Arabidopsis thaliana: one gene and its partners. The protein of the gene in region 2 interacts with the protein of the main gene of each other region in a pairwise test. Each region holds a gene or a part of one and is shown on either strand. Other genes may lie near its edges. The genes, in order: AT3G01300, EXO70E2 and AT1G31870.

Region 1 (3,755 bases), on a different chromosome or scaffold from region 2:
ATAAAGAAACCAAATACCGATTAGATCCAAAGTAATAGTCTTTACTTTCTCTCTCACTCTTATATAGATAGTTATTTCGGCTACTAATTGGTGGTTTTCATTTCGCTTTTAGGTATGCAAATGTGAAGACACCTGAACGTCATGTGAGGACTCGACTTTACTTCACATCTGTAAGTTTCCTCTTTGCTCCATTGCTTGTTTAAGTCTGTCTATGAGTGAAACTATAATGTTTATGCCTGGTATGATTTGGAACAGGAATCGCATATTCATTCGCTCATGAACGTCCTTCGATACTGTAACCTTGATGAATCTCTCCTAGGAGAAGAAAGCCTCATTTGCCAAAACGCCTTAGAACGTCTCTGTAAAACCAAGGAACTCGATTACATGAGTTACATTGTCCTAAGGCTCTTTGAGAACACCGAGGTTTAACATTACATTCCCTTTGACTCTCACACATGCTTCAATATATGTATATGCTCTCTCAGTGTCTGACTCTAGACGTAAAAAACGGATGCAGGTATCACTTGAAGACCCGAAAAGATTCCGCATTGAACTTACATTTAGCCGTGGAGCTGATTTGTCTCCCTTAAGGGTAAGAGCAAAGGATGTCTTTAACTAATTAGAGGAACATATTATAAACTTTTGGTAATATTGAAACATGATGCAGAATAATGACGACGAGGCAGAGACATTGCTAAGGGAACACACACTTCCGATAATGGGACCAGAGAGGCTTCAAGAAGTAGGTTCTTGTTTAAGCTTGGAGACAATGGAGAAAATGGTTCGTCCATTTGCTATGCCGGCGGAAGATTTCCCTCCGGCGTCCACTCCGGTTGGTTTCTCGGGTTACTTCTCAAAAAGTGCTGCGGTGCTGGAGCGACTCGTAAACCTCTTCCACAACTATAAGAACTCTTCTTCTAATGGAAGGAGCTAAGCAGAGACCAATTGTTTTTTCCACTTATATATATTTTGCTCATGCTTTTTTCTATGTGCAGTTTTTAATCATCTTCTTGTTTTTCTACTGATGTTTTAATTTTCTATGTGAAATTGTGAAAGGGACTAGTGCAGTTGGGTTTGAATAAAGATATGATTACATGGAACATAAATGAGTCACCCGTGACGTTGTCTAGTGTTTACAATAGGACTCATCTATTATAACTCAAGAAATGATGATGAGTCTTATTGTAAACACTGTGTTTTCATATCATGCTGTTACGTTAAAGTTGTTGCGGATTTGTTGGAATTTATATATAATCTGCAAAAGAATAGGCTGATGATATCGGATAAACAAATACCGAATCTAAAACAATCTAATAATCGGTGGATTTTTCGTTTTGGGAAAATCTCAAGACATTAAATTGATAATTGAAATACAAATTATTATTATTAGTAAGAATAGTACTAATTGATTGGAAATTGTAATAAACGACTTAATATACAAACTGAAAAATAACAAATGATCATGAAAAACATTTTAAAAAATGACCAAATGAAGGAGATACATAGATAGTTTTATCAAATTTTAAAAAATGTTGGTAATGCAATTAGGGAACATTTGTCCGTGAAGGAATTAATTAGTCTCTGTTTAAAAAACTACGAAAAATGCGTTTTGTAACTGTTGTTGAGAAGAGAAGAGAGAGTTAGCAAACAAACACATATATATTTACATTATTATTGCCCAACAAATCTCTCTCTCTTGCCCGCTTCGTGCCCGTCTCTTCTCTCTTCTTCGTATTCTCTCTCCACAGACATGAATTCCCTTTTTGACTAACCTCCTTTTTCCCCTAATAAGTGAATCTTACTTCTTCTTCTCGCCAAGATCAAATTTCTGGGATTCTTCTTCTTCTCTCTAATTCCCTTGCGTTTGTTTCCTCTGATCAAGTTCCGTCCTTTTTCCTTTTTTTGTTCTTGAGTTCTCGTTTGAGCTGCTTTTTGGGGGAGATGGGTTTCGATTCTGTTAAAGTTATGGAGAATTGGCAATCCAAGACATCTAATGAGAATGAGAAGAAGAAGAAGAAGCGGAGGAGGAAGAAGAACAACAATGTCAGAAACAGTGAACATTATGAAGAAGAAGCAAATGGGTGTTGGGTCAAATTTAGGTATATAGTCTGTTGCGCTTCTTCAACATCAGACGTTGAGACCTCTCTCACTCTCTCTACTAGCACTGGTATGCCTTCTTCTTTTGGCTCTTTTCTTCTCTGCTCTATTTGGTTCTGCAATTTAGTTTCCTGTGCCGTTAGAGTTAATAAAAACCCTTCCTTTGAGATTCAAATCTTCTTCATTTTTGTTTCCATATTTGTCACAAGACGTATCTTTCCATCTAGGGTTCTTATTGAGCAAAACCTTTAATGTCATTGTGGTTGGTTTACCTAACTTTGAGCTACTTCATAGATTATAATGTATATATATTGCAGCAATTGTAGGAACTGACATTTGAATGGTTTTTTATAACAGTGGGAAGTCAGTCCGCAATTGTGCAATCAAATGACCAACCGGTTGGCCCAGTCTCTTCTACTACTACAACTAGCAATGCAGAAAGCTCTTTGTCCACTCCTATCATAAGTGAAGAACTTAACATCTATTCTCACCTTAAGAAGTTTTCTTTCATTGATCTCAAGTTGGCTACTAGAAATTTCAGACCTGAAAGCCTTCTCGGAGAAGGTGGCTTTGGTTGTGTCTTCAAAGGCTGGGTCGAGGAGAACGGAACTGCTCCTGTTAAGCCTGGCACTGGCCTTACTGTTGCCGTCAAAACCTTAAATCCTGATGGCCTTCAGGGTCATAAAGAGTGGCTTGTAAGATCCTTCCTTCCTTCTCTTTTCTTCTATATATATATATCCTTTTCCACTGTTAAACACACAACTAAAGGTTCCTGTTTGCAGGCTGAGATTAATTATCTTGGTAATCTTCTCCATCCCAATCTTGTTAAACTGGTGGGTTATTGTATCGAAGATGATCAAAGGCTGCTTGTATATGAGTTTATGCCTCGAGGAAGTTTGGAGAATCACCTTTTCAGAAGTAAGTAAAACAACTACAACCTTCATATTCTAATTACACTGTAGAGTTATTTTCTTTCCTTTTCTTTGTTTTCGATTTGGGTAACAAGTGTCTACAATTTAGAGATGTGTCTACTCCATATTGTTAAAGTGATTAGAATCTATACAGCTAAAATTGGAACCTTTCTGCTCTATATGGTAAAGTTGGTACCTTTTAGTGCTGTCTTAGATGGTTTATATTGCTTGACTGTATTGACCCACGAAGCAATAAGTAAATCCCTCGCATTCATTGTTTCAAGATTTTTCGGCGTAAAAAATGTGTTTAAAAAGACACAGTGCTTTTGTATGATTTATCTTCTCAGTTATCATTGATGCAAATCTTTTTATTTGTGAATTAACTTGTGCTTCGTGTTGAAGGGTCCTTGCCTCTTCCATGGTCAATTCGGATGAAGATTGCATTAGGTGCTGCAAAGGGTCTCAGTTTCCTTCACGAAGAAGCTTTAAAGCCGGTCATTTATCGAGATTTCAAAACCTCAAATATTTTACTGGATGGGGTATGTTTTCCTCTTCTTTATATCAAGGGATCAACATCTTATATACACGTCTGTTTCTTTGCTTCTAAAGTCTTACCATGTCCCAATTTCAGGAGTACAATGCTAAATTATCAGATTTTGGGCTTGCCAAAGATGCTCCTGATGAAGGCAAAACTCATGTGTCTACTCGAGTCATGGGCACTTATGGTTACGCTGCCCCCGAGTATGT
Region 2 (3,755 bases):
GTGGATGAACCCTTCTAGTCATGGCCATTCTTGCAGCTGGTGCAGCACTGTCAAAATCCAAACGAATTTAAGCAAAACACTAATAAAATAACCATTTGACAGAGACAGTAATGAAACATTGAAGATCAAAAAAGATAATTTGCTTACTTTCCCCTTTGTTCACTCATTATCTGAGAAGCTGATTTGGCTACAAATTCCTGCTTCGGTTTCAATGTGATACCAGTAGAAACAACATCATTCAGAGGACTGACAGGAGAATGCTCTAGTTTCTGCTTCTTGGGCTCACGAGCCTCCTCCTCTCCGCTCTTACTGTCCAAGTTAATCTCAGAATCAAGCACAGAACCAACAGCCTCACATTTAGTCACAAGGAAATATCTGACACAGAGACAATAGAGAAACACACATGTTAGTAACTGTTGATTTCAAGAATCGAACCAGAGTGATTATCCATGTAAAGAAGAAGCAAAAGAGAAGTCTTACTTTGTAGATTTGCTTGAAATGTCGTTAACAGTGAAATCAATGAGACGAATTAGACCCAAGTTCTGGATCTTCCCAGAAATGATTTCAGGTGTGAGTGAAGCAGTAAACATTGCTTTGACTTTCGTCTTTCCGTCATTTGCACTAAATCTGTCAACCAAAATCAAAACAGATCCATCAGAACAAAATCGGTAACTAAAACCCAAAACTAGGCAATATACAAACTATTATCAACAAACCCAGATCTCTTCTATCATAGAGTCATCAAAGTCGTTGCATATCATAATCTAGCTATACAATTGTGATTGAGAGAATATAACACTGACCTAAAGCTGGAACAAGCGAGATTTAAGAAATCAAGTAAAACCCAGATCATGAAAAGCCAAGGAAACTTACGTATAGCGATTGCCGATAGGTTTAAGATCCACAACTTGAACAACGATCTCAGATCGATCGGAAGACGAATCAAAGGATGGGTTTGACAAAACGGTGGAGATGGCATCTGGGGTCACCGAAGTCTGCATCTTTCTCTCTAGATATTGAAAAATGAAACGTTTGGTTTCTCTTTAATCAGAATGGTGAAAACTAAAAGCCGTGAGATAGTGAGAAGAATGAGAGAGAGGTACGAGGGTTTTTGTAAAGGAGAGAGCTTTAAGCGGGAGCTATTAAATTCGATTAATTGTTCCCCCGCCGATTTCAATTTCTATTTTTTTGGCAAAAAACTCTTACCGCTTCTTTTCAGTATCTTTCCATTTTTTTGGCGCATTTTGTTTTGTTTGATAATGGACTTTGTATGCGAAAGAAACTGTGTTACAAAAGCCTTTCACTTCAGGCCCATAGTTTATGGTTTTGTTTTTATGTGTGGGTCTTGAATCCACCGTATCACACGTTATGATTCATAAATATCTAAAATTTATTTCCAACAAATACAATTTTTTTGTTTCTTAAAGAACACATACGATATTATTATTTCAGAAAAAGATTAAATACAAAATCCCCAGGATCAAAATCAAACACCAATTCCAGATTAAACAATATCAACAATCTTTAATGTTTTTGACTTTTTTTTTTCTCTGAATGTTTTTGACAATTGAAAAAAATAATTCTACGCATTGCGTGAGGCAAACATTTAAAATTTTAATTTATATAAAGAGAAAATTTATACTTCTTGACTTGGGAAAAAAAAACTTGCTGAGGTCCTTACTTGATATGAGCTGTCAACTACTAGTGTGAGCCGTACAAATATAATCGGACGGTTCAGATCAATACATTGCGAGCCAGTCAAACTTCAAGTATTGACTAATCAACATCAACGTTTATTACACTAATTTATTATTGTACCCCTTATTTTCCAAAAACATAATACTTTTATCCCTATTGTATCCAATAGCTCTAAAAAAATCCACCATAAAATGTGTTTAATGAAATTCGATTATCTCTGACGACAACATTATCAAAAATCAAGACAAGAGATAGAACATAAAATGTTCAAATTCGTAAAAGTAATTGAAACAAATTAAATTCATTTCGAAGTTTATTAATTACATTTTGACCCCCAAATTTAAGTTAATTAGACTTACCATCCCCATGGTTTTCGTCCCGCCATATGGGGAAGTCAATGGACGAATCAATCTCAATTAGATTCGGGGCGGCCCAAAAATTTATCATTTTCTAAACCTTTCGTAATCTACGAAATTACGGGATCGCCTTCGTTGGAATACTAATTCCATTTTTCAACTTTGTTTTTATAAATACAGTTTACGTGCACCACAACTTTTCTTCTTTCCCTTCTTCTTCCCCAATAATCTCGCTGAAACTCTCTTGCTCTTGCTTCTAAAAATCTGTTCTTTGAGACTTTGATCACACAGTTATCAAAATCATAATCTCTTCTTTCCTGGTTTTTTTTTTTTTCTTCTTCTTCTTCCCGTTTCACGGTACGTTTACTCTGTTCGATCACCGAGTGTATGATAAAATGTTTCTGTGAAATCAAATAACATATCACTTTCTAATAAACATCAAAATTTCTCCTTTTTTACAGAAACAAGAAGTTTTTTTGGGAAAGCCGTTGACTTGACTTTTTCTTTGGGGTGTTGTGTGGGAGCTTATAGTATGGTACCATAAGTGGGAGCTTATAGTTTGGGGTGTTGTGTGGGAGCTTATAGTATGAGGAAAAATGTTAGATTTGAAGAATGCTTCACTGATTTTTTACCATAAGTATGTCAACTGGATTAAGCTTAAGTAGTAATGGTTTTTACTATGTTCATGTGGGGATTTCTCTTCCTCTCTGTTTACTTCATTCCGAGATGACTTGAGATTTTTTCAAAGTATAGTTCTTGGAGTTAAGCTTACCTAGTAATCACTTTATATAACATCCCTTCGTTTACATTTGTGCTTTCACCTGGAAACACTTTAGACTTTTCTCTCTTCTGCCGTGTGTATTTAGTTGTCTAGTCAAATTTAAGTTGAGTTTAGGCTCTAGTCTTTGGTTTTGGTTATGGCAGAGTTTGATTCCAAGGTTCCTGTTTCCGGAATGAACAATCATGTCTTTGAGGCATGTCACCATGTTGTTAAGGCACTGAGGGCATCTGATAACAACCTGGATGCCAATTTGAGAAAGCTCCTAAGTGACCTAGAGATGCATTTGTCAACATTTGGGATTGCTGATACCAAAGTTGAAGATGCAGGATTCTCTGAGATCAAGAAGAGATTCAAAGAAGCTGTGAAGAGAATCCGCAGTTGGGAGACAAACCAGTCGACGATGTTTGAAGCTGGTCTGTCTGAAGCTGATCAGTTCTTTCAAGCCCTGTATGACGTTCAAACAGTTCTTGTGGGTTTCAAAGCTTTGCCCATGAAAACTAACCAGATGGAGAAAGATGTTTACAACCAAGCTACGGTTGCTCTTGACATCGCGATGTTGAGGCTTGAGAAAGAGCTCTGTGATGTTCTGCATCAGCACAAACGGCATGTACAGCCTGATTACTTGGCTGTTAGTTCCCGTAGAAAAGATATTGTGTACGACGAGTCCTTTGTCTCCCTAGATGATGAAGTTATTGTCGAAGCTTCTTCACATGAAGATGATGAACAGATATCGGACTTTTATAATTCTGATTTGGTTGATCCCATCGTACTTCCTCACATCAAAGCTATTGCAAACGCCATGTTTGCTTGCGAGTATGATCAACCATTCTGTGAAGCTTTCATCGGCGTTCAAAGAGAAGCTCTGGAGGAGTATATGGTTACTCTCGAAATGGAAAGATTCAGCTGCGTTGATGTTCTCA
Region 3 (3,755 bases), on a different chromosome or scaffold from region 2:
TCCTCACCTGTGATCTTGTCACGGAACACTGCTTCTGCGTTTTGACCAGTTAGCTCGGAATCCATATTTTTAAACCTGTAGAAGAGTATAATTTGTCAGAAAGATGGTAGCCTAAAAACATGCAATCGCGAATCTCAAATCATCGTTACTGAAGACTGGTCTCTTTATGAATTCCCTATTTAAAGACACAGAAGACAAAATCTTAGAAACTTAGGAAGTAGGCAACATGAAACTTCAAGGAAATAGGAAACTACTCTTGGCCCAATACTACTGAAACTGAAACAAACCTGATGCCTATAACTAAAATGCAGTAACAGATTCTAAAAAGCTTAGTCTACTTTCTGATAATTACCTCAATTTTTCATCCTCCTTTTTCTTTCGATATTCACTTCCAATGTCTTTGCCACTAATCAATCCGGTCTTTCGTTGCTCCTTGCTTATTTGAGGAGGTGATGAATCTCTGCGTGGTCTCCTTGGGGGAGAGCTATCAAAATTGGAACTCCTGGACACATTTTCAGAAGAACGTCGCAAATCTGCGGCTTTTCTTTGAGGCGAAAGATCTGAGTCTTGAGAATCCTTCATATTTATATTCCGGCCGGGTGGAGATAAATCAGCATTCGAGCCAAAAGATTTTGAAGACCTTCTAGCTGGTTCAGGTGATGGAGAATGATATCTTCTTCTCCGTGGAGGAGATAGATCATTGCTCTTCTTTTTTACATCTGAGACAGGTGAACCATGTAAATCTCTTTTCCTGCGAGGCGGAGATAAATCATCGTCCAACTCAACAGAATCTGAACGCTTTCTGCTAGATTCACGCGATGGAGAATGAACATGTCTCCTACGAGGAGGAGATAGATCTTCACTCAGATATTTAGCTTCAGGTTCTGGTGAAGGCGAATCATTCCTGGCTTTTCTTTTGCGAGGTGGTGACATATCTGAATCCAAACTAACAGGCTTGGTATGTTTTCTGTTAGGTTCAGGTGAAGGCGAATTGTGACGTTTTCTCCGTCGTGGTGGTGACATATCTGTATCAACTCTATCCGCAACCGACCGTCTAGGCCCAGGCTCAGGAGAGGGCGAGTCATTACGAGTCCTTTGTCTACGTGGAGGAGAAATATTAGATTGTGTGTCTTCACGGTTTAGAGGTAACGTTACCCACCCACTTCCATCCTCAGCAATGGCATTATGAGCACGCCTTGCCTTAATTTCCTCCAACCTCCTCATTCGCTTAACTTCAATGTCTTCATCAACCAGAGGTGTTTCCTCTATACGAAACAAATGAAAAGAGAACACAATATGTAAATGTGAACTGTTATTAGATCAGGGAAGTGAAAGCATTACAGATGCACAAGTCCAAGAAACAAGAAACAGTCAAGCAATTTACCTGCTGAATCATCTTCGTTTTCGTCCTCTTCAGGATCAACCTGCTTTTGCCAAACTGGATCTTCGTCGACAACTAAAACACCTCTTGGTTCAGGTTTAGATGGCTTCTTCTGCTTCTTCTTCTTCTTCTTCTTCTCTACAACATCACTACTTTCATACTTCTTCAAGTAATCTTTTAAAGATTGGTTTCCTGCCATCTTTGAGAATTTGGAGCCTAAATACCAATGATAAACTTGAAAAATTCAGTCAAACATAACATCTAGACGAAGATATATTCAATTCAGGAACCAGAGGTTCAAGCAGGAATTAATGGCAATGCCACCGTTCATCATCTTAAGAGACCGAATTATAGATATAGCTTTCAAAACCAAATCTGGAATCAACAATTAGTTGCTAAACTCAAATTAGCATCAATCAAGCCCTACGAAAATGAGACTGAATCGAGAATAACAAAAGAATGCTTAGTCTTATATCGTCATCAAATCCACAAATTTGCATCTACTCAAAAGCGATTCCAGAAAACTAGAAAGCTAAACGAAGACAAGCATACATTCATAGAATCGTAAAATTACTAACCTGATCGGAAAATTAACGCCGGAGATGACCGGGAAAATATCAGTAACCCAACGCGAATAGTTGAAAATGATAACTCGGAGAGCTAGCTCTTCTAGGGTTTTTGGATCTCCTGGAGACGAAGAATAGAGAAAAACTTAAGTTATGGCGGAATTTGAAATTTCAAGCAATTAATAGGGATTGCTTTTGTAATTCCTAATATTAAGACATAAATAGGGGCATTTTAGTATTTGCACACATTGCTGAGTCGGTCTTTAAAAAGCCCTTCACTATCACATTGACTTCAGAACAATTAGGGTTAATCTCTTCCGTTGCTTTTTTTTTTCAATCCGCCGCCACTTTTCGTTTCTCGTAGCGTTAAAATGGCGGTATCGTACAATGCATTAGCTCAGTCTTTAGCGAGAAGTAGCTGCTTCATCCCCAAACCTTATTCCTTTAGAGATACTAAGCTGAGAAGCAGATCCAATGTCGTATTCGCGTGCAATGATAATAAGAACATTGCTCTTCAAGCTAAGGTAAACATCTTCTGTGTAATCTTAACTTATAGATAGAATGTTCTGCAATGGAATCGTGTTAAGTTTAATTGTTATCTAAGAACGATTAGAATTTAGATTGAATATTGAACCAGACATTGTCAGGTGCTTACTCTTTGACATATGAGTAATTACTGTTACATGTCGGGTAGAGAAAAAAGAGAGAAGGAAAAGCTTTTTAACCTGAGCTTCATTTTTAGAGTTTGGATTTCTTTTTTAAGATGCTCATCGTTTGCTTGGTCATCTGCATTTGGTGATGCCTGAGCTACATCTGTTCATCACATTTTATTAAAGCATTTAAGTATATTGTTATGCCAAAAGTAATTTAGTTCTATGAACATTGTCTGGAGTAAATTGTATATGTAAAGTTTGGATTTTTGCCAGAGATGGTCAGGTTCCTACCCTTTGACATGTGGGTTTGGACTGTTACATCTCTGGTATAGAAAAGAGAGAGAAGGAAAGGCTTTTTGATGGTTTCCATCTTTAGGTTTGGATGTCTCTTTCAAGGTGCTCATCGTTTGCTTGGTCATCTTTGTTACGTGATGACTTGGCTCCATTTGTTCATCACAGTTGATATCTTTTCAAGGAAATATGTATTGTCTTGCGCTCTCAGAGTTGGATTAATTCATCACTGAATTACTGTGATGCCTTCCGAAGTAACTTATGTTTTAATTTAGAGAAAAGGAGGTTCATGTAAGATGTGTCATTTGTTAATCTATTTTAGTTACGTCATGTACAATTGAGATTTGGCCAGAGATGGTCAGGTTCCTACTCTTTGACAAATGAGTTTGAACTGTTACATCTCTGGTAAAGAAAAAAGAGAGAAGGAAAGGCTTTTTGATGGTTTCCATCTTTTGGTCTGGAGTTTTCTCTAAAGGTGTACATCGTTTGCTTGGTCATCTGAATCTGTGATGGCATGGGCTACATCTGTCCTCCACAACCTGAATAATCTTCATTGAGACATTTCTCTTTTGGCTTTAATATCTAGTCCGATAATGCATTTACTGTTTATACTATTAGAGAGGGGCTTGTTTGATTGAAATGACAATGTTTTTTTCTGTGTTGGTAGTGTTGCCATTGTGCCTTTTATTACTGTCTCAATAAGCAATGTATATGCGGCTGTTGTGTTCCCTGGTAGCTAATCATGGTTTCTGTTGTTTTCTTGTGTTAGGTAGATAACTTGTTGGACCGCATTAAATGGGATGACAAAGGATTAGCTGTGGCAATAGCACAAAACGTTGATACGGGAGCAGTATTGATGCAAGG

What was found.
Region 1: the proteins of EXO70E2 (region 2) and AT3G01300 interact in a two-hybrid assay, tested with the Arabidopsis thaliana proteins (one large-scale study listed by BioGRID).
Region 3: the proteins of EXO70E2 (region 2) and AT1G31870 interact in a two-hybrid assay, tested with the Arabidopsis thaliana proteins (one large-scale study listed by BioGRID).

What each region holds. Positions count from the first base shown.
Region 1 is NC_003074.8:91,522-95,276, reverse strand, and holds the start of AT3G01300 (Protein kinase superfamily protein), read left to right. Parts: upstream 1-1,688; 5' UTR 1,689-1,941; coding exon 1,942-2,167; intron 2,168-2,454; coding exon 2,455-2,792; intron 2,793-2,879; coding exon 2,880-3,015; intron 3,016-3,410; coding exon 3,411-3,547; intron 3,548-3,639; coding exon 3,640-3,755. Other genes in the region: AT3G01310 (Phosphoglycerate mutase-like family protein), read left to right, coding at 1-31, 113-170, 256-423, 518-592, 668-934. UniProt on the Arabidopsis thaliana protein: Involved in chitin-triggered immune signaling and is required for reactive oxygen species (ROS) production.
Region 2 is NC_003076.8:24,551,641-24,555,395, forward strand, and holds the start of EXO70E2 (exocyst subunit exo70 family protein E2), read left to right. Parts: upstream 1-2,103; 5' UTR 2,104-2,971; coding exon 2,972-3,755. Other genes in the region: RPA70D (Replication factor-A protein 1-like protein), read right to left, coding at 1-47, 148-375, 481-627, 874-1,001. UniProt on the Arabidopsis thaliana protein: Influences the subcellular localization patterns of other exocyst complex proteins (e.g. SEC5A, SEC15A, SEC15B and EXO84B) leading to their recruitment to exocyst, well-defined large punctate structures throughout the cytosol.
Region 3 is NC_003070.9:11,435,094-11,438,848, reverse strand, and holds the start of AT1G31870 (pre-mRNA-splicing factor of RES complex protein), read right to left. Parts: upstream 2,131-3,755; 5' UTR 1,960-2,130; intron 1,598-1,959; exon of another isoform or gene 1,581-1,597; coding exon 1,385-1,580; intron 1,266-1,384; coding exon 353-1,265; intron 76-352; coding exon 8-75; intron 1-7. Other genes in the region: AT-IE (histidine biosynthesis bifunctional protein (HISIE)), read left to right, coding at 2,319-2,471, 3,661-3,755.